Linked DNA regions of Canis lupus familiaris. The protein of the gene in region 4 interacts with the protein of the main gene of each other region in a pairwise test. Links are inferred from orthologs where the notes say so. Each region holds a gene or a part of one and is shown on either strand. Other genes may lie near its edges.

Evidence for each region. The genes of interacting proteins can lie anywhere in the genome.
Region 1: the proteins of AKT1 (region 4) and ARNT interact in a protein complementation assay, tested with the Homo sapiens proteins (2 studies listed by BioGRID and IntAct, with this or other methods). The link is inferred for Canis lupus familiaris from reciprocal best matches to the Homo sapiens genes AKT1 and ARNT.
Region 2: the proteins of AKT1 (region 4) and TCL1A interact in binary tests that used the Homo sapiens proteins (3 or more experiments, as listed by UniProt). The link is inferred for Canis lupus familiaris from reciprocal best matches to the Homo sapiens genes AKT1 and TCL1A.
Region 3: the proteins of AKT1 (region 4) and CEP76 interact in binary tests that used the Homo sapiens proteins (3 or more experiments, as listed by UniProt). The link is inferred for Canis lupus familiaris from reciprocal best matches to the Homo sapiens genes AKT1 and CEP76.

Annotation. Positions count from the first base shown.
Region 1 is NC_049238.1:60,665,824-60,671,626, forward strand, and holds the start of ARNT (aryl hydrocarbon receptor nuclear translocator), read right to left. Parts: upstream 3,542-5,803; 5' UTR 3,381-3,541; coding exon 3,356-3,380; intron 2,517-3,355; exon of another isoform or gene 2,493-2,516; intron 1-2,492. UniProt on the Homo sapiens protein: Required for activity of the AHR. Upon ligand binding, AHR translocates into the nucleus, where it heterodimerizes with ARNT and induces transcription by binding to xenobiotic response elements (XRE).
Region 2 is NC_049229.1:64,861,111-64,866,830, forward strand, and holds the start of TCL1A (T-cell leukemia/lymphoma protein 1A), read right to left. Parts: upstream 3,542-5,720; coding exon 3,422-3,541; intron 983-3,421; coding exon 812-982; intron 400-811; coding exon 343-399; 3' UTR 339-342; intron 1-338. UniProt on the Homo sapiens protein: Enhances the phosphorylation and activation of AKT1, AKT2 and AKT3. Promotes nuclear translocation of AKT1. Enhances cell proliferation, stabilizes mitochondrial membrane potential and promotes cell survival.
Region 3 is NC_049228.1:78,180,161-78,185,841, reverse strand, and holds the start of CEP76 (centrosomal protein of 76 kDa), read left to right. Parts: upstream 1-2,140; 5' UTR 2,141-2,213; coding exon 2,214-2,276; intron 2,277-3,301; coding exon 3,302-3,457; intron 3,458-4,483; coding exon 4,484-4,565; intron 4,566-5,193; coding exon 5,194-5,418; intron 5,419-5,681. Other genes in the region: PSMG2 (proteasome assembly chaperone 2), read right to left, coding at 1,567-1,623. UniProt on the Homo sapiens protein: Centrosomal protein involved in regulation of centriole duplication. Required to limit centriole duplication to once per cell cycle by preventing centriole reduplication.
Region 4 is NC_049229.1:72,723,324-72,728,442, forward strand, and holds part of AKT1 (RAC-alpha serine/threonine-protein kinase), read right to left. Parts: intron 3,617-5,119; coding exon 3,488-3,616; intron 412-3,487; coding exon 300-411; intron 159-299; coding exon 11-158; intron 1-10. UniProt on the Homo sapiens protein: AKT1 is one of 3 closely related serine/threonine-protein kinases (AKT1, AKT2 and AKT3) called the AKT kinase, and which regulate many processes including metabolism, proliferation, cell survival, growth and angiogenesis.

The DNA of each region.
Region 1 (5,803 bases), on a different chromosome or scaffold from region 4:
GTCATTCAACCAAGCCACCCAGGCAACCCTCAATATACTTTTCAAAAATGTTTTTGCAATAAAGCATCTTGATATCTTAATTTTACACCACATAAATTCCTATTTTTCCCATAACTAAAAAGAGTAAAGGTAACAAATAAGAATATTGTTGTTAACTAATGCTTTCCAAACTATAATTTACATAGGTGAATATTATGTGAAAAGAAAAAAATTTCCTAAATATCAGCTTCACAAACCTAAACAGTGTCCCTTTACCTTCTGCCACATTTTCTAGCCACAATAAGTGGTACTTATTAGCACAAAAAGAGGTGAGATAAGAATACCAGAATCAAGGGAGGAGGACATACCTATACTCCTACAAATTCATTCTTATTTCTGCTTTGAATATGGAGTTGGAAGTCAAATACCTAATCTCTTCCCAATCCATGCCTTAGCCAATGCATTACAAATCATGCATGTAATCTAAAAAGTATTCCTCAAAACTGTTAGTGTTTCATAACAAAAAAGACAGCCTAATACTTCATGGACCACTTACCCACCCACTATTATTTGCCAATGGTAAGAAGAATTAGTGAAAAATAACAGAACATGGGGATTATCAATTTATGCAGAGAAAAGGCCATTATCACATTAGACTTATTATTTCAATGTAACTCTTAACATATCAGGGAATCTTAACCAGCAAAAAGATAAAGTAGAAAAAACTCAAAGAAATAAGTATGATGTCTCTAGTCCCTAAAATGGATCTAAGGAAATGTTTGACCATGAAACAAAGAATTCTGACCTGAAAACCATTTACCTTCCTTTTTTTTTTTAGATTTATTTATTTCAGAGAAAGAGCACGTGCTCAGATGCGGGGAGCCATAGAGAGAGGGAGAATCTCAAGCAGACTCTCCCCTGAGGTCAGAGCCTGCTCAGGGTTTGATCCCAGGACCCTGAGATTATGACCGGAGCAAGAGTCTGAGACAACCAACTGCACCATTCAGATGCTCCAAAAATATTTACTTTTTTTAAAGATTTTTTAAAAATTTATTCATGAGAGACACACAGAAAGAGACAGGCAGAGACACAGGCAGAGGGAGAAGCAGGCTCCATGCAGGGAGCCCAATGCGGAACTCGATCTCGGGACTCCAGGATCACGGCCGGGGCTGAAGGCAGGGGCGAAACCACCAAGCCACCTAGGGATCCCTTATTTACTTCTTTTCACTGAGCGCAATACATTTCCATCCTGTGTCCCTTTATTTGTAGTCCACATTTCCCAAAACTCAACAAGGCTATTAAAGACCACAATACACCTATGATTGCTTCCTTTTGAATATAGAGGAGCAAAAGAAGAAATGATGGAAGAAAATACATTTTCTAATTACCAGGTGTTGAATGTTGTTGTATCAATAATTTGGAAGAGAAGTGAGAATTTTCAACATCAAAAAGGAAATCTAAAAATTGCAGAAGCAGGCTGTCATAGAATAAAATCATATGCTTCACTAGCAAGGATTGTACACAAATAAATACCATTTTCTGCTTCAGATTTAAGCTGATATGAATCAGCTAATGAAATGTGGTCAAGAAGCTGACATTCTGGTCACTGTTGTTGAAAAAAAATAAAATGAAATAAAGCAGCCCCACCCACACTGCTGAAAAAAAGCTTCCGACATATGCACTAAACTTGTTTACCCAGGCCACATCTTAACAAGAGAAAAGCTTTGCAACTTGACTAGGATTATGTAACTATTTTGCAATGTGTTATCAGTTTAAAACCCTATTTATTTACTCCTTAGTTTTAACACATGGGTTACTTTACTACAAGGCCAGGTTTGCCATAATAATAGCATCTTTCCAATTTTATTCCATCATCAGCACTTCTTCCAATAGAGTTTTAGCCATTAATTTCATCTACTTTTCCTCTAAAAAAAATTAAAATATTTTACAATATGATATTGATATGTGACAAATTAACTTCTTTAAATAGCTCTGTTCCCAGAAACATGGTAGTAAAGACAGTAAACTTCATAGTGATTTAACTGCTATACCAAAACCTGGGTACCACAAAATAATAATCAGTTGAGATACACGGAAAAAAGTCAACTTCAGTTTCAACGTGGGAACACCCTTTCACTGTGAATCCCTTTCACCGCAGTATTTTCAAGTAATTCACCCCGAACTTCTGGCTTCTTTTTTAAGGTTATCAAAGATAGAGATTTCCGGAAAAGAATTTTTATTTCACAAGAGAATGGCCAAGGTCTGCAAGGTAAACCAGGATCCCTAAAACGAAATACTTCCAAGGAAGAAATAACTGTAACATAGTGGAACGATCTGGGACTGGGAATTTGGAGACCTGATCTGTCTAGACCTGCAGCAATACACCCCACTCCATCGCTTAAACATGACTGCCTAGATTTTTTTAATATTCTCGCTCCCCCTTTTGAAGAGATGCTCACTGAAAAATGACATGGAACCGAATTTTTCTTAAAGAATGGGAACTGCTTGGGCACCTGGGTGGCTCAGTGGTTGAGCGTCTGTCTTTAGCTCAGGTCGTGATCCCGGTGTCCTGGGACCGAGTTCCACATAGGGTTCCCCGCGGGGAGCCTGGTACTCCCTCTGTTTGTGTCTCTGCCTCTCTCTCGGTGTCTCTCACGAATAAATAGAATCTTAAAAAAAAAAAAAAAAAAGAATGGGAACTGCCTCCATCTACACCCAACAAGATTTAAAGTTCAGGTTCTGAATGCTAGCTGTTGGCAACATCTGCCCTGAGCACCAAACATTACTCAAACTTTTGTCCTCAGCAGCTGAAGACACTGGGAGGCACTTAATACAAAAACGCCAGTTTCAAAGGATAGCCGGGGGGGGGGGGGGGGGAATGTTAAGCCTAGAGAAACTGGGTATATATCCAGACATTTTTTAATTTAAATTAAAAATGTAAACGTCTAAACGTTTGGAAGTTCAACACCTCAGCTAAACAGCAATGCGGTCCAGTGTTGATAAATCTAAATCACTTTTAAAGTAAAAGGAGACAATTTTCCCAGTTATTGTGCATCAAGCAGCTCAAGTGGGCAGAGCTCAAGGACCACATCACACAGCAGAATGCCGCCAGGACAGTGGAGGCAGGCCAAGCCCAACCAAGGGAACCGCTCCGACAGAACTCGCCCCAACGAACTCCCTCCCTCCACCTCTGGTCTCCCCAGATCCCTAGGGCCGGCCCCTCCCCCCGCCATTCCCCTCCCCCACCCGTCGGCCACCTCCGCTAGTCTTAGCGCCCTCAGCCCCAACTACCGCCGCTCAGCCCTGGGTCTCCTCAGCAGCCAACCCTTTCAGCCCCTCCTCCTTTTAGAGGCGCCCCAGTCCTCCGTCTACTTACCGGGGTTAGCAGCAGCCGCCGCCATGGCCGTAGATGCCAATGCCGTCGCGCCACCCCCCGAGTGGGAGGAGCCGCCGCCACCGAACCGGGGGGGAGGGGGAGGGGAGAGCCACTCCCCAGACGCGGCTCCCTACAGCCGCCACCGCTACCGCGGAATCAAAGATGGCGGCTGCGGTAACACACACCCCGCCCCGACAGGCCCCAGCCTCCGGAGGACGGACCCCGCCCAAAGAGTGGATGGAGTCATTCCCTCAGAGCCCGCCTCCTCGGGGCAACTGACCAATGAGAATGCAAAAGGCAGGGCTGGCCAATGTGCCCGCCAGTCCATTGGAGGAGGGCGGGCAAAAAAGAAGTCCAGCTGTCTCTCTCTAATCCCGCCTCCTGTGCGTCAGAGGTCAGTGATCGAGTGACGTAGGCGAAAAACATTTTTACTCAAAAGCTTAGCTAGGTGGTAGATTTTTTTTTAAGATCTTATTTACTTATAGACACAGAGAGAGGCAGAGACAGAGGGAGAAGCAGGCTCCATGCAGGGAGCCGGACGCGGGACTCGATCCTGGGCCGCCAGGATCACACCCCAGGCTGCAGGCAGCGCCAAACCGCTGCGCCACCGGGGCTGCCCTAGGTGGTGGATTTTCCTGGCTGAAAACTGTGCAGACGATTTGTTTCGTAAACCCTCTTTAGTGGCTCTAATGCTTAAACTTTACACAGTGATTTGTAATCCTTTCTAGAATTTTTTTCCTCCATTAAGGACCTTTGTCCCTGGTGAAAAAAAAGACTCAATAATTTTTGAGTGCCTGGTATGGAACTGGTCGTGTAAAACAATCTGGGCGCTTAAGGTCTGGTGAGAGAGGTACCGACAGCCAAAACAAAAGGCGTTGTATAAAGAAGGTATTCTGATTAAGAGTGGGATGACTTCCATTGGTCAATAATAGGGACATAATGATGGGTTTTTGTAGGGAAGTAATAAGATGAGGACTGAACAGATTTTTTTAATAATAGGAAGCACTAAGCATTCGTGCCAGACACTATCCAAACTGCTCTGTGTGTTTACTCATTTAGTTCTCACAACACTGTGATGTAGATTGTATTATTAATTCCATCTTGCAGATAGGGAAAGAGAAGCAAAGAGATTAAGCAAGTGATAACCAGCTAGTAAGTAATGATGTGCAAGGCAAACTGAAGAAGTCTGACTCTAGGAACATATTTTAGCACTACAATATACTACCACCTTACTTATCTTTCACCTATTGTTTAATATCAATTTAATTCGAATTTTAACAAATTTCATTATGCTCTTGAGTATATCTGCATTCTTATAGATTACATATGTAATACAAGATTACATTGATCCATTTCTCTCCTTATCAGTAGTTTATCTCCGCTGAGGTATTTTAACATAATTTGTATATTATTATTTACATTGTTAAAATTATTTTTTCTTTGTTATTTTATTGTGTTGTATTTCCAATTCATCAAAAGAGAAAAAGCATCCACTCTAAAGAAGTACATTGACACATAAGAAGTAATGATGAAAAAACTAACAAGTACAGAATTTCAATTCAAAATTATGAAAAAAAAATTATGTAGTAAAGGTAGCTATTAAACAAGACTGCAGTTTAGATATGGACTCGAGTTTTGTGCCTTTACATGTGATAAGTTCACCCAAGCAGCGATGAATAAATAAAAATGTAAATACAAAGTATAATCATGAATACCTATGGGGCTCTTGAGTAGCTCAGCCAGTTTAGCGTCTGCTTTCAACGCAGATCATGATCCTGGGAATCTTGTGATCAAGCCCTGAGTCGGCTCAGCCTGCTTCTCCTTCTCCTTCTGCCTTTCCCCCTACTCAGGCGCGCTCGCTCTCTCTCTCTCTCTCTCTCCCTCGCTCTATCTCAAATAAATAAAATCTTTTTTTAAAAAAAACCACAACTATGATTATCTAAAAATTGGATTTTATTGGACCAACAATCCTTTTGTCCATTGCCCACTACAAGTATTGTCAAACCCTGACTCCAAAAGCCATCAAAACTTACAAGTCATTTTTGAACCAATTACAATAACCTCATTACGTTATAAAATGTATTTTTCCAGAATGAATGCAAAATAATGTTTTCCATTATGAAATGGATGAGTTTGTGGATAAAAAAGATCAAGTTACATCCCTGGTTAAAAAATGGCAAAAGTCATTTTGTTTCAGTGATACAACTAGCTACAAAGTTAACAAGTGTTTTGCTTGGAGAAAGTATAACAAGCCATTAGCAAAATCCATGATCAAACACCACAAAGAATCCTGGGATATAACATGAAAAGGCAATATTAGCCTTGAATTTGCCGACAGTGGACACCATGATGTACATAATATGAATCACTTCACAGCATATATGTAGTACATAAGGAAAAATGCCCAGAAACTTGTTATTTGGTTTATCATTCAAAATTGAAGTTACA
Region 2 (5,720 bases), about 7.9 Mb from region 4:
GAACCCGGCTCTGTGACCTGCCCCAGTTATGGTGCTTCCTCGAGGCTCGTTTTTGTAACCTAGGAAATCGAGTAATTCCCAGCTCAGTCGAGGTGATGATCAAGTGGGAGCACCCATAACGTGAGAGGCGCTGTACAGACGTGCACCCCTGCGGGGAAGGGGGCCGCGGACAACTGACTAGCCCCCAGTGTGGTAATGGGGAGAGCAGGGACCCTGAGACCCTCAGAGGACAGTTCCGTCGGGGTGGGAGTCAGCACTGCCTTCATGCGAGAAGGGTGGTCCTTCATCCCGACCTGGGCACTCTGGACCAACAGGTGCTGGGCCCCGAAGGTACTCACCTGGTCACTCATCCTCCAGGTCTGGCAGCTGCTCCAGGAGCATGTCCTCCATGCCACTGAGCTGCACGGGAGAAGCGGGTGAGAGGCCCGGGCCCTAGGAAGTCTCCTTCCATCCTTCTATTCCTGCCTCCCGGGCCTTCCAGGAGCTCGGAGCAGCAGGCAGGAACCTGCCTGGGGGCGGGGGATTCGAGGAGCCCCTCCTCCCACCAGCCTTCACCCCCTGACTGCCCATCCGAGAGGCCTCCCTGTGGCTGAGACCTCAGAAGGTGGCCCAGTCAATGTCTTCTGATGTCTCCCCAGTCCAATCCTTGAAAAACCTGCAGTTGTAAACTCCTACTTGTTTAGCTTTTGGTGAGAGATGGAGGGAATGGATTGACCTCAGAGGCCAGACATGGGGGCCTGGGGGAGGCGAGGAGGACAGGACAGGCCCACCCAAGATGACTCGACGGTGTCCAGGAGGAGGACACACTTGCCTCAATGTGGTACACTATGCGCCAGAAACTGGAGTCTGAGCCTCGGTATCTTCTTCCAGGGTAGAGCTGCCACATGGAAGGCAGCAGGCATGGGGCTAGCAGGCTGGGGCACATGGCCTCCCCTAGGGGGACATCTTCCTGACGCATGAGTACCTGGAGGCTGCTCTCCGTCTGAAGGGAAGGGAAGACCAGGGCATGCCTTCAGGGCCCAGGCTCCCCAGCACCCAAATACCCAGGGTCCTTCCTGCCACCCTCACGGCCCAGCTGACATCTGAAATGCTGGCGATCACTCTTCCCAGCAACTTCACCCCTTGCGCCATGCATGCCCCTCTCAGGCATCGGGCCAGGCGGAGATGACCGGCACTTACATGAGTCTAGACACCCAGACGGGGCCACACCAGGCCCACGTCTTCCTGACAAACTGAACATTCGTCCCTGAGCTTCCTTAGCTGCAGTTTCTTTGATTCTTCTTTATTTTGTCACAGAGCCCAGCCCCTTTTATTTATTCATTAAAAAAAAATTTTTTTTAAGTAATCTCTACACCCAACACGGGGCTTGAACCCACAACCCTGAGATCAGGAGTCGCTTGCCCCACCGACTGAGCCAGCCAGGTGCCCACAAATGCCCCATTGAAACAAATTTCCCCAGCACCCACAATCAGGTGAGAGACCACTTTTCCCCATCTCCACCAGTGCCCCTCTACTGCAGTAAGCTAACCTGCCACCTCGTTGGTCATGTGCCCCACGATCAGCTCACAGCACAGCAGCCAGGGTGTGCGTCTAAAAATCATGTCACCTCCTGTTTGACACCCTCCAGTGGCTTCTCATTGTGGGCAGAAGAAACTGCAGCCTTTACCATGGTCCACAGACCCACTAATGTGGGCCCGTGCCTCCCTCATCTCTTCAGTCCTCCACCTCCCACCCTGTTCCTCCACCTCCCACAAAGGCCTTCTTGCTCTTTCCAGGACATGCCACATCCCCAGTAATCTCTTGCATCTGTGGTCCTCTGCCTGGAACATTCTCGCTGAGATCTACACGCGGCTCACACCCTTCCTTAGATAGGTTTCTGCACAACTTTTTATCTACAGGGACAAATTTCTGCAAAATCCAGCTCTATGAAATACACATGAGGCCCGCATATCTAAAAGTGAGACTTACAAAGGTTTCAAATAAAATGATTGGACAAAAGCATGACAAACAAATGCAAATTAATTCTCTGACGGGGTCTTGCCTGTAGACCCCACGCCACTCGTTACTGCCTCTCATCCTTACACAACTTACCACCAGCTTCAATTATTTTATTGTTCTGCACCCCTCAGCAAGCATCAGCTTGCTGAGTAGCAGGATTTTATCACATTCCCCACAAAACCTCATAGCCTGGAAAGCAGGCTGGGTCTATAAACTAGGCATTCGTGTCTGCTCAAGAACTACTTTTCCAAAGTGGAAATCATTTTTTGTTTTTTGTTTTTAATTTGTTTTTTGTTTTTAATTTCCCATCTATGAGATAAATTAGAATTGTTAAATAATTCAGATCATCCTGCAAGATATGAGTGGAAATCACCATTCTTGCTGTGTTCGTTTATAGTTTTCTAGAGCCTCTAGACCACTTTTAGTCTGCGTGTTCATTTTTTTCTTATTTTTTTTTATTTTTTTTTTAAATTTATTTATGATAGTCACACAGAGAGAGAGAGAGAGGCAGAGACACAGGCAGAGGGAGAAGCAGGCTTCATGCACCGGGAGCCCGACGTGGGATTCGATTCCGGGACTCCAGGATCGCGCCCCGGGCCAAAGGCAGGTGCTAAACCGCTGAGCCACCCAGGGATCCCTTCTTATTGGTTTTAAGTCAATCTTTACATATTAAGGGCAGCCCCGGTGGCTCAGCGGTTTAGCACGGCCTGCAGCCCAGGGTGTGATCCTGGAGTCCCGGAATCGAGTCCCATGTAGGGCTCCCTGCATGGAGCCTGCTTCTCCCTCTGCCTCTCTCTCTCTGTCTTTTGTGAATAAATAAATAAAATCTTAAAAAAAAACTTTACAGGGATCCCTGGGTGGCGCCGCGGTTTGGCGCCTGCCTTTGGCCCAGGGCGCGATCCTGGGGACCCCGGATCGAATCCCATGTCGGGCTCTCGGTGCATGGAGCCTGCTTCTCCCTCTGCCTGTGTCTCTGCCTCTCTCTCTCTCTCCCTCTGTTACTATCATAAATAAATAAAAATTAAAAAAAAAAAAACTTTACATATTAAGAAAACAGGCCCTTTCAATCACATGGACACAAAGCCTGCCCCACATTGGGCTAGGGGTATGTTTCACGCAGGATCTATGAGGACAATGCAAAAACCTCCACTTTGTGGTCTTGGTGTCCTGTGCCCTAACCAGAGATTTAAATGCCAAGAGACACGGTGGTGGGGACCTGGGATTCCAGGCCTCTCACATCCTGCAGAGCTACCATAATATTTTTTTTTTATCTTTGTTCCTAATTCGGCGTCTGCACCGCTGCGTTCCGGGTGAAGCAGGCTCCGCTGCCCCCCACCCCCCCGCCCGCCCCTGGGAGTCGGGGCAGGTGGTCCCACCCCGGATGCCCACGCCGCGCGCCCGGCCCGCCCCGGGGCGGCTGTACCTCGATGGTTACGGGCAGCCAGGTGCGCTGGTTCTCGTCCACGTACACGGACGTCTCCCAGATCCACAGGTGGTCCGGGTGCAAGGCCGCGTGCGCCCTGAAGAACGGGAGCTCGCCCATGGCGCCCCGGGGCACGGGCGCGGGAGCCTCTGCAGCGCGGGAGCCCCTGCAGCGCGGGGTCGGGTGGGTCGCGGTGCGCGCGGGCGCCCCCGGGCGGCGGGGTGGGAGGGGCCGGGGGGGCGGGGAGGGGCGGGGCCGCGGGCGGGTCTGCAGCTGGACCTGCAGGGGGGCGCCCTGGCCAGGCCTGGGCTCCGGCTGTCCCCCCCTCCCCGCTCCCCGCTGCTGCTGGGGAGCCACCCCCTTGTCCGTGCCAAAGGCCTCTCGGCTCTCCGGGGCGCCCAGACCCCACTGTCCGAGCCCGCCACCGCGTGTGTGTGGCTGCTCACGTCCCACTAGAGACCGGGACGCCAGGCCGCTGCTGGGAACTCACAGTCGATGCCAGGCAACCCAGAGCCGGGCCCCCCTGCACATCTTCCCGGATCATGCGAGCCTGAACGAAGCCTGGACCCTCCCAGGTCCAAGCATCCCCTTCAGCCTCTGGATGGGGTGTCCGACTCGGTCTCCTTGGCCAAGTGCTACTCATGAAGCCCCGACACCCCACTCACCCCCACCCCCCTCCGCAAACACATTTTCCACGGCTTTGATGATGGTGTGGTCATCTAATAGCTATTGTGAAACACGATGGTGAAGAAACATGGGTTTTTTTTTCCCCTTTATAGGCTTTGAATTCATTGCTGAGCACATCCTTCAAAATGAATGCTTGAAAAGAATCCCTTCTCTCCGCCCCAAGATCAATGGAATTGAAAAGTCCCTGGGTTTCATGATCAAACCGGCTCTCTGTGAATTACAGCAAACAAGGAAAACAATGTCACTTCATTTTGCAGTACACCGCATGCCCATTAAGGCAATTAAGAAAATAAAGTACAATGAGAAACATGTAAAGCGAGGCCCGGCCTCGTTGCTCAAGCATCACCCCTGGCTGCAGTGTGGTGCTTCACCTTCCAGCTCCTTCCTGACTCTCTGCCCAGGCACTAAGAAAATACTCTGTGATCTTTCGAGATATCACAGAAATGAAAATGAGCTTAACCCTGATCCTCTGACAGCAAAGGTATGTATGTGCTGCTCTGCCCACTCCAAACAACCTAATTCCCAAGAAAGTGCTGAGGTGGCCTACAGTAATGGAGATAAATATATAATTGGATTTACCAGGAACACAAAAAGAGGAGACAAAACCCAAGCCAAGGTGGAGTGGAGGAGGCAGACGGGAGCCCAGCAAACCTCCTTCCCGGAGCAGCCTCTGGTGGTGCTGGTATTTCATATTCAGACTCGTGGCATTCAGAGTGATTTCCCAGTGGTTGGTTCTTAATTCCAGACCCAGGTAGCCACTGGGAGCAAGATAGTATGGTAATGGCTGGGGAATCTCAGCCCTGTCCTGAGCTTTGAGGTCAGAAACGGTGGTAACAAGTCTGGCTTAGACAGTGTGGCAAGGGAAGGAGGTAGCTAGGAGCCCGCGTGGCCACTGACCCAGCCACATCGAGGACCCCAGGACCCAGAAGGCCGATTTCTGGGGTCTGCCGATTTCATTACCACTCCTTCTGCTCTTCAGAGAGGCCACAATAGTAACAAGTAACAGAACAAGAATCACACTCCTTTGCCTGAATATCCTTCTGAATGTCCTGGGAATACATATGATCCTTACACCCCCCAGAGTCCTTTGAAAGAACAATATATGTCTTCAGCGTTGCATGAGAGCTTCTTAATATTGAGCAAGAGTGTACATCATTCTTGTGTAGGATTTAGCGAATCACTTGAGAGGGGATTCCAAAACATGAAAGTGGCACAAGATGACTGAGGAGTTCATGGGGCAGCATCGGGGGAAGGGGGCTGGGGTCTTCTTTATGGAAATCCATGAGAAAGGAATAGCTTCTGTGTGGTCTAATGGACAGGCAAGCTCTCCAGCATAAAATCTACCCCATTTTAGGGGTCAGAGGTCATTGGACCTAGCTTTTATTTTATTTTATTTTTATTTATTTATGATAGTCACACAGAGAGAGAGAGAGGCAGAGACATAGGCAGAGGGAGAAGCAGGCTCCATGCATCAGGAGCCCGACGTGGGATTCGATCCTGGGTCTCCAGGATCGCGCCCTGGGCCAAAGGCAGGCGCCAAACCGCTGCGCCACCGAGGGATCCCTGGACCTAGCTTTAAAGATTTTTTTTTTAAGATTTTATTTTTTCAAGA
Region 3 (5,681 bases), on a different chromosome or scaffold from region 4:
ATATTTCTTGCATGCATCATTAAGGTAAGAATTGCCCAAAAGTGTTACCATCATTTAAAAATTTGAGATATGGGATGCCTGGGTGGCTCAGTGGTTTAGCGCCTGCCTTTGGCCCAGGGCGTGAGCCTGGAGTCCCGGGATCGAGTCCCACATTGGGCTCCCTGCATGGAGCCTGCTTCTCCCTCTGCCTGTGTCTCAGCCTCTCTCTCTCTCTGTCTCTCATGAATAAATAAATAAAATCTTTAAAAAAAATTGAGATATAAGGGACATATGATATTGTATCAGTCTTAGCTATATAATTTGATACATATGTATCTATGTATATACTGTGAAATGATTACCACAATAAGCTTACTTTAATATCAATCAACCACATAGTCATAAATAACTCTCATAATGAGAACTTTTAAGATTTCTTCTCTTAGGGTGCCTGGGTGGCTCAGTTAGTGAAGCCTCTGCCTTAGGCTCAGGTCATTATCCAAGAGTCCTGGGATGGAGGCAGCCTACAGCTCCCTGCTCAGCGGGGAGTCTGCGTCACCCTCTCTCTTTCCCCACCCTCCTCCTGCTTGTGCTCTCTAGCTCTCTCATAAATGAATGAAATCTTCAAAAAATCTACTCTCTCAGCATGTTTCAAATATACTATGCAATACTTTGTATTATAGTCACTGCACCGTACGAGACATCCTTAGGACCTCTTTATAACTGGAGGTTTGTACCTTTTGACTGCCTTCATCTATCTCACTCAAGCAACTCTCATCCTCACCTGCCTCTGGCTACCGCCAACCCCTTCTCTGTGTCTTTATCTGAGGATTTTTTTCACCCCAGGCCCCGAGATTCCACATTTAAAGCTTTAACAGGTCTTTGCGTCCTTCCCCTCCCAGTAAGTCCTAGGATTCTTCTGTGTCCTTTCCAAAGTGCTGTCCTAGGGCAGCCCAGGTGGCCCAGCGGTTTAGCGCCACCTTCAGCCCAGGGCGTGATCCTGGAGACCCGGGATCGAGTCCGGCGTCGGGCTCCCTGCATGGAGCCTGCTTCTCCCTCTGCCTGTGTGTGTGTCTCATGAATCAACAGGTGAAGTCTTCAAAAAAAAAAAAAAAAAAAAAAAACAACAAAAAACCCAAAACCAAGCAGGAGTTAGTGACTGGCCAACATTGCTTTTATTACCTTATGCGTAGGTTTTTGGTTAACGACCAAATAACGAATGACTTAAAGTCTCGCCAGCTTAAGAATGGCTCTGATTTTAGCTAAAAAAAGATTTTCGAGGATACAATGAAAAGAAAATGGCCCGCACGACCTGCGTCGCACGTTACCCGAAACCAGCAAACACGCTCCGTGTGACAGCGAAGACCAGAGTCCAGTCTCGGAGACGCCCGGGGACGGCGGCCGCCGAGTAACCAGAGCGCCGCCCCCGGCGACCACCCTCCTCCGCGCGGGCCGCAAACCCGAAACCCGCAGGTGCCGGCGGCGTCCCGCGTCCCGGGACCGGAGAACTAGCCCCACCCACGGCGCCGGCGGCCCCCAGGCGCCCCCCACGGCCGGCGCCCCGGAGCTCGCGGAACGGGGACTCACCATGAGAAGGGTGTGGCCCGCGAGGTCGGGGACCGAGTCTCCGCAGGGGACAAACATGGTGGCACAGAGGGCGGGAGGACAGGCAAGGCCGAGCGCGGGCCCAGGAGGCCGGGGGCGGGGGCGGACCCGCGAGCGCCGCGCCAGGTCTGGCAGCGCGGTCCCCAGCGCGGGGGGCGGGGCCACGGGGCGGGGGGCGGGGCCACGGGGCGGGGGCGGGGCCCGGGCCGCCGCTCGGCGTGGGGTCCTGCGGGGCCAGTCCAGCTCCGCGCCGGTCCGCGGTGCGCGAAGGGCCGGGCGCCGGGGGAGATGGGGGCGGGCAGTGCGGGCGGAGACCCCCGCGGGGCAGGGCGGCGGGGAGCGTGGGCTGGCGCGGTGGGCGTCCCCAGGCCGGGAGCGGAGGCGGACGTGGTCAGGCACGGACGGGGGCAGCCCGCGCCCCGGCAGTCCGCGCCGTTTGAAAGCCACGGTTGAGCGCCGCCGCCGCCGCCGCCTCGGCTCCCGCCCAGCCGCGGCCCTGACGCGGCGCCGCGCCCCCCGGGAGCTGCGCGAGGCCGAGCGGTCGGCGGCTCCGCCCCGCGGCTACTGGCACCCCGGGGCCGGCCGGGCGCGCCCGAGGCGGGGGAAGCGCGGCGAGCGGCGGCCGCAGCATGTCGCTGCCTCCGGAGAAGGCCTCCGAGCTGAAGCAGCTCATCCACCAGCAGCTGAGCAAGGTGAGGGTCCGGCCCTGGCGCCGCCCGCCTGGCGTCCCGGGCGAGGCCGACGGCGGCGCGGGCGGGGGGCTCCGAGTGTGCAGCCCGGGCCGCCTCCAGCCTCGGCGAAGGGCAGCCTCAGCCGCGCTGAGGAGGAGGCGCTCACCCCGCGGCTTCGGGGTGCCAGGCCGAATACCAGCTGGGCTGCAGCAGATGTATGTTCGGAGGGTAGGAGTGAGAGTTACTTTAAGGGTGAAACTCGTGTCTTGAAGTTGAGCCAGGGGGACGTTCCTGAAGGTCTGCACGGAGAGTGCTTGCGGCCCTTCGGAGCCCAGCGAGAGCCCCGAACGCAGGGAGCTGAAGCCCTGAAAGCTGCCGTTTGCTGTGCACCTGTATGCCAGGTCCCGTGCTCAGTGTAAAGCATCTTTGACCTGAGCCTGCAGTAATCTTTTCCAGACTCATGCAGGGTAAACGGATCAACTCAGGGTCACGTCTCATAAGCTCAACGTTGAAATTCATACTCTGATCTCCTAGTCCAGGTCTGTGTTCTCTTGCGTATACTACACTCCCAATAGGCCTGTTTTCGTTGAATGTTATTTGTGGGGAAATGGTAACAAAGGTAGTAGATAGCCAGTAGAGATTATTTCTAGAATTTGTGCTAAGAGAAATTTAGGATGAAATAAAAGTCTTAGCTTTATTCTCATTGAATTCTAGCGATAATTTTACACTTACTATTAGCTTGAAAAGCCGTCTTGAATTTTGTCCACTCTCCCATTATTGTTTTTTAGATATTTATTGATTCCTGAGACACACAGAGGGAGAAGCAGGTCCGCTGCAGGGAGCCCGATGTGGCACTCGATCCGATCCCGGGACCCTGGGGTCACGCCCTGAGCGGAAGGGAGACGCTCAACCGCTGAGCCCCCCGGGTGCCCCTAGTACTCTCCCATTATTTTTTTTTTCCTTTGGGTGCTTTAGAAAGAAATTAGCTAATTGGCAATGTTTGTCAGCTTTATAAACGTGAGTTATATTGCAAGTTTTCTACATAGATGGATGTCCATGGCAGAATAAGAGAAATCCTTGCAGAGACAATACGGGAAGAATTGGCACCTGATCAACAACAGTTATCAACGGAAGATTTGATCAAAGCCCTTAGACGTCGGGGAATCATTGATGATGTGATGAAAGAACTTAATTTTGTTACTGTGAGTAGTTTGGTGGGGAAGAATTTTGAGAATATGTTCCTGGGCATAATGCTGCTTATTGGGTCCATATTTGGGGCCTGTTTTTAGTAAAATCACTTTAAAAGGCCATTTTTGTCTGGTAATATCCTTACTATAAGTTCACTCTACCCTTGAATGTAGCAAGTGGGATTATGTATCAATGAGATTGGAGTTACATACCATATTTCTCTTTACAGTGACAGAATTTTCTGTTGTTATTCCCTAGGTCTGTATCTGTAAGTATACATATTTTAGTGAAATTAGTTCACCATAACCTAGTTCTTTTTCGCAAGTAGTGTTTTATAATTTTTTTTAGATTAGGCATATTTTTTAAATACATTGTTTTAGAACTTCATTCTCTGTGATTAACAGATTATCAAATTTTTAAAGAAAATAATTGTGTAAGAACCTTCAAATCTCTTTATACAAATAGGTCGGTAGTGAGATGATAAGCCTCCGTGCACAAAATAGTAAGTGGGCCTTCTTTTGAAAATGAGGCAATAATGAGAAACTGTGACCTAATAATACATGAGTAGTATAATGTAAAAATTGGATGGAGTGCATAATACATCAGGGAATAAGTATTTTAATACAGCCTCCTTTTTTGGTTTTTGAGGTTTATAAACCCATTTGTTTGAAAATTGACCCAGTAACAGCTTCTGCTGTGTGAATGTCATTTCCTTATTAAAATCAGTTCATGGTAGAATCATAAGCCAAATGTCATATTAGGTTTAGAAAAAGTTTAACCTTGTTTAAGGTATTAAGGATTTGTTAATAGCATTCTGTGGACACTGAAGACAGTTTATTTCCTTATTAAAGTTTAGGAGTGACCAGTTCATCAACTCTTTTCATTATTTTAATTATGCTGGGAAAATAAGAGTTTCCTTGAGGGGGCTTTATCCTGTATACTTCTGTTTAGTTCTTAGTCCCACCCATTGTTGATGTTTCTTTGCTTAGCTATAATTTTTGTTTTCTAATTTGTTTTCATCTTTTTTCCCACCTTTCTAGGACAGTGTTGATCAAGAACTACCTTCCTCTCCAAAACAACCTGTTTGTTTTACTGATAGACAATCAACGTTGTTAAAAAAAAGTATGTATATTTCTTTTAACATTGATTTCGTTTTGCACCGTACTACATATTGATGTGCTGTAGTGTTTGGTATTTGATGAAAACCATTTTTTTCCTTCTCGAATGAGATTCTTACCATTTTTGTAATTAATCATCCAAAAAACTTAGATTCTGTTTTGCACCAAGTTGTGTATGTCAGAAGCTTTAGTATATCACAGAGTGGAAGCAAAAACAGAATTACCTGTTTCTCATGTTTTAATAATATGTTTTATAAACATTGTACAGCTTTGCTTTTTTAACGGTAATTGCCTAAAAAGTACACTTGCTGAGTTTATATTTGTTTGGTTTGGCTTTGGCGGTGAAGGCGTGTTATTAGATAAGCACCTGAAGAGCAAAGGTTTCTTAAGCCTTGGCTCTGACTCTTTTCTAGCTGGGAGAAAGTACCCAGAATATAAAAACTCCGATAAAAATATATCTTATTGTGTATGTTTTCTTTCTTGGTTTCAAATGGTCCTGGTATACAGTAAATTTGTTACTTTTTTAATTTAGTCTTTGGTTTTATTTCTGTCAAGTTATTATTTCCTATTGTCTTGATCACATTCCTTAAGTTGTTTGGCAGTTTCCTCATATATATTGCTACACTTTACAGCTAATATTGATCCAACACGGAGGTATCTTTACCTTCAGGTTTTGGGTGGAAAAGCTTTCTTGGAACATCTACAAGAACCTGAGCCTTTACCTGGACAAGTTTGTTCAACCTTTACTCTATGTTTACATTTTCGAAACCAACGTTTTCGTTCTAAACCTGTTCCATGTGCCTGTGAACCAGATTTTCATGATGGCTTTTTACTTGAAGTACACAGAGAAAGCTTAGGTAAGGAGCAATAATAACTTGTCATTTAATTGAGTAAATATTTGTTAGGTTTTATGGTAACATAACTTTTGCTAGAAGGAGAGTTTTATGATGATTGAATCTTCCTACTTTGCTTTTATTTTCTCCACTGCTCTTTTTTACATAAATTACTTCTACCTTTTTGCTTTATTTTCTGCTAAATAATTTTTCCTTAAGATTTTTTATTTTTACTGTTTTAATGGTTGCTTCTTAAGTAGTAAACATTTAAATATCTGTTAGGGGGT
Region 4 (5,119 bases):
AGCGCCTCACCACACGGTGCTTGGGCTTGGCCAGGGACACCTCCATCTCCTCAGCCCCCGAGTTGTCACTGGGCGAGCCCGACCGGAAGTCCATCATCTCTTCCTCCTGCCTCTTGAGCCCGTCGGCCACTGTCTGGATGGCAGTCGTCCACTCCTCCCTGCAGGGCCGGCACGTGAGGCCCCGTGACCCCGGCCTGGACACGGGGGACAGCGAGGCCTGGCTCCCCACAGGGCGTGTGCCCTCCCCACCAGGGAGCAGAGGCCCCGGCACCCAGCTGCCCCGTGCATCCATCTCATACCGCTCCTCGGGTGTCTCCACGTGGAAGGTGCGCTCGATGACCGTGGTCCACTGCAGGCAACGGATGATGAAGGTGTTGGGCCTGGGCCGCTCAGTCTTCATCAGCTGACATTCTGGGGGCAGGGCTGGCAGGTGAGTCTGCACCCCCGCACACAGGGCCCACCTGCCCCCGGCCCCGGGACCCCACCACCAGGTCATGCAAAGCCCTATCCCATTCCCATTCCACGCCTTGGCTCCCCTGCTTGTAAAACCAGGGGTGGGACCCCTATTCCAGTCCTGACACTGTGCTGGCAGGCAGTGAGGTGCCCCTGCAGGGCTGGCTGAGGCCGGGTCACCTCGGCCCCATGTCATCCTCTCCCCTGGTCCTTCGGTCTCTGAGCCCGTGCTGCATGCCAGGCAGCTCAACTGGCCGGAGGGAGGAGGAGGAGGGATGCCCCAGGGGCGGGGCAGAGGAGGGAAAGCAGCTGGCCCCCGAGCAGGAACCCCCTGCCATTTACCCAGCCCACGCCCCCCCCAGCAGGGCCAGTCCCAGGGCAAAGGCCGGTGGGGACTCACCCTTCAGAGACGCCGCCTGTCCTGGGCAGGCAGCTGGAGGACATGACCCTCCCTGGAGGCTGCTCGGGCTGTACCCACCCCACACGATGGCATTCCCCCACCACCACCCGAGGCTGGGGATTCCAGGCGCATGGCAGGAACACGGAGACACATATCCAGAGCACGCACACACCTGGAGCATGCACAAACCTGGAATGTGTGCACACCGGGAGCTCATACACAGCTGAAACACACGCACACTAAGGAGCTCAGAAGCATGCTCATGGCCGGAACAGGCACACACTTGGAGCAGGCACACAGCTGGGATGCGTGCACACCGGGAGCTCACACAGCTGGAACATGCACGTGCCTGGAGCAGACACACAGCTGGATTGTATGCACACTAGGAGCTCATACACAGCTGAAACGCGGGCACACCTGGAACACACGCACACTAGGAGTTCCCACACACTGGAAGCTCACACACAGTTGGAACACACACACACCAGGGGCACGCTCATGGCTGGAGCACGCACACACCAGGACTGCACACACCTGAAGCGGGCACACAGCTGGACCAGACACACAGCAAGAGCAAAACACACCAGGAGAATGCACACGCCTGGAACAGGTACACAGCTGGAGCACGCACACACCTGGAGCAGGCACACAGCTGGAGCACACACACACCTGGTGCAGCCACACAGCTGGAGCAGGCACACAGCTGGAGCACGCACACACCTGGAGCAGGCACACAGCTGGAGCACGCACACAGCTGGAGCACGCACACAGCTGGAGCACACACACACCTGGAGCAGGCACACAGCTGGAGCACGCACACAGCTGGAACACGCACACAGCTGGAGCACGCACACACCTGGAGCAGGCACACACCTGGAGCAGGCACACAGCTAGAGCACACACACACACCAGTAATGCACGCACACCAGCAGCACAGGGGCTGTGGGGATGCACGAGGCCCCAAGAGGGGTGTGAGCCAGTCTGGGGTACCGCTGAGAAATTCTAGGGCGACGCTGGCCCAGTGTGTGTGAGGGCCCTAGCAACCTCAGGGGGGCCTGGCCGGGCTCGGCAGAGGTAAGGAGTGGTCTACCGGGGCTGGGCCTGGCCTATGTCAACATGGGGATGGGGGACAGAAAGCCTTGTGGCCTGTGTTCTCCGTCCCGCACACCTACCTCCCACTGGCTCATCAGAGACCACCAGCTTTTCCCAGAACCTAGGCGCCTGGTGTCCGTCCCACCCTGGCTTCCTGTGCCCCCACCCCTGGAATCCATCCCCAAGGAGAAGCCCGTAGCCACAGAGGCCCCCACCCAGCCACCTCCCCGGCTTCAGGGCCCCAGCCCCAGCCCCTCTGCATGGCGCCTGCCTCCCGAGAGCCTCTGTAGGCTCTCTGCCCGCAGGGAACATTCCCCAGGGCCCCCACAGCCCTGCCAGCAAGGTGGCACCCACCCCAGCCAAGGAGGCACTGGGCGGAGCCCAGCCAGCCACCAGGCTGCAGGGACAGGGGTGCCTACCTCCTTGGTCTCCCGTCACCCTGGAGCCCCTACTCTATGGCTGCTCCGAGGAAACCTGAAGACGCGGATGGGGTCAGGACTCAGTGGACCCGGGTCATGGTAAAGGTCCCCTGGGAGACCCCCAGGCAGGAGACTTACAGGGCAGGGGCTATGCTCCCCCCCGGACAGAAGCCCTCGGTGGGGGGCTACGCTGGCCATGCCCCTTGCCCCTACAGCACAGCGCTGGCTACACCGAGAGGGTGGGCAGGACAGCCAAGGTCCAGGACCGCCCAGCTCTATGTCCCTGCCGCCCACACGGAAGCCGTGAGTCCCTCCCCATCACCCCTGCCACCTCCCCGAGACTCTGGAGCAGAACCTGGGCCAGACGTGGGGGAGCTACAGGACCCCAGGCTCCCAGGCTGAATGGCAGGGAAGGCAGAGGGACCCGGAGCGTGGAGATGTATAAAGGAGACTAGGGTGGAGGCCGGACCCCCACAGCGGGCACCTCGTACCCTGGACGGCATCCCAAGACGGACCCAGGAGGTCTGTCAGTTCAGGAGCCCATCACTCATCCTCCCCCCCCACCGCCCGGGGCCGTGTCCCGGGTCAGCCCCGGGCGGCCCAGCTCCATGCCCAGGTCACCCGAGCCCCACAGGTGGGGTCGCACCAGCTGTCCCCACCCCTTGCAGGTACAGAGTAAGGCCACCGGAACACGGAGTTTAGAGAAAGCACCAGGCTTTCCAGCTTTGCAGGCTGCCCCAGGCCCCCTGCGTGGCACTGCCCCCCACAAACCACCACAGGGCCCAGGCCTCTGGGGGCTCCTCCTGGGGGGACAGAGGCTCCCGGAAGCCGAGTGCCCCTCTCGCACTCTCGTCCTGCCTCCACACCCAGACCGCCGTGAGCTCCAGGTGGCGTCCAGCCCACTTGCTGTGCCCCTCAGCCAGGCCCTCGGACGCCAGAGCAAGCGGCCCCGGGACAGGTCCGGGGTGGCCCGCCTCGGAGCTCCCGGCAGCCAGAACCAGCCGCACGCTAGTTCCCACGGGGACTCAAAGCCAGCCCCGCCGCCCTGCCCTCCTGTCCAGCCAGGGTGGCCCCCGCGCCCAGCGGTGCCCAGCCGCGGCCCGGGGAGGCCGCACGCACTTACGTGCCACGGAGAAGTTGTTGAGGGGGGACTCTCGCTGCTCCACATCCTGGGGCCGCTCCTTGTAGCCGATGAACGTGCCGTCGTTCTTGAGGAGGAAGTACCGGGGCCGCCAGGTTTTGATGTACTCCCCTGAGGACACGGCGCGGTGAGGGGACGCGGCCGCCGGACCCTGCCCCATCCGCCCACGGAAACCCCGGCCTAGCACACGCACCCAGGACACGCTAACCCGAGGACGCTGCCCTCGCTCCCAGCAGGGCGGACAGGGGTGCCAGCGTGGCAGGGCTAAGGGCTCCCCCCACCCACCTGGGTCCGGCCAGGCGGCGGCCGCCAGTTACTGCAGGGACAGCGGCCCCCGGCCTGCAGGATGGAGCCTGGCGTGTGGCATCGAGGGGACAGCGAGTGGGACTCAGGGCGCCGTCTGCAGCAGCACCCCGCCCCCGGGCCGGGCACTGGGACACTTGCCTCCCCGCACCCCCCACCGTGCACATCGCGGGCATCAGGGCAAAGCCAGGCCCAGGTGTCCGCGTGCTCCCCGGGCTGCGACCTGCCACCCCTGACCCGCACGCCCACGGATGGGCTACCCAGGTACACGGGGAAGCGTTCCCCAAGTTTCGCCACATCAGCCATAAACAGGCGTTCGCACTTAAGAACCAGAGCAGATGTCCTCTGCGATGTTCGAGCGACTGTCATTTTTCATACTGACACCCCGAAAAAAAATGTTTCATTTCCATTTTGCCGAGCAAGGAGTTTGCACAGCGACGAAGAACTTACTAATTAGACAACTGCTTTATCGCAGGAGCCACTGGGCAGCAGGTGGGGGGAGGCCGGGTCCCCACGCTCTGGGCCGGGCCCTCCCTCCCGCAGGGCCCCGCGGCAGGGGCACCGGCACAGGCCTGCTCAGGGCCAGGCACCGGGGGTGGGGGGGCTCCCCGCCTCACTGCCCAGCGCCTCCACCAACCCAGCGGCCTCTGAGACCCAGCCCTGGCTCCACGACACCTGGTGGGGGCTGGGGGGTCACCCCGGCCCTACGCGGCTGGCACAGAGGGACCCGAGTGAGGGCAGCGACCCGCCCGGTACCCCAACCGCACTCAGCGGGCCCTCCACCCCGATCCGCCGAGCCCCCAAGCCCGCGAAGACGGTCGGCTGGGAAGGCTGGGGGGACCTCGGGGCCCGGGACCCGCCCGGCGCCCCCACACCCCTTCCCCGCCGGTGCAGCGGGTGGGCCCGAGCGAGGCGGCCCCGGGCCGTGTGCAGCCCACCACCCGCGCGGGCCCGGGCGCGCGCTCCCACCCGCCTGCGCGCCAGTCTGGAGCTGTCGGCCCCTGATGGAGTGGCTCCCACCCCGCCAGCTGCCGCTCCCCGGGACGCTAACTGAGCGGGAGAGCGATGAGCGCCTCGCCCGCGCCGCCCCGGAAATCCATCTTGATTCACCAACTGCCGCCGGCCCCCACCGCGCCCAGCACCGCGCCCCATGCGTGCAGCCGGCACGTGTGCGCCTGCTCAGCCACACCCACACGCCGGCCGGGGCCTCAGTTTCCCCACGGGGTCCAGGATCCCTGGAACGGGGGTGCCGGTGCTGCAGTACCCAGGACTCACCCGGCCACTTGGCTGTGCACCTGCGGCACTCCAGGA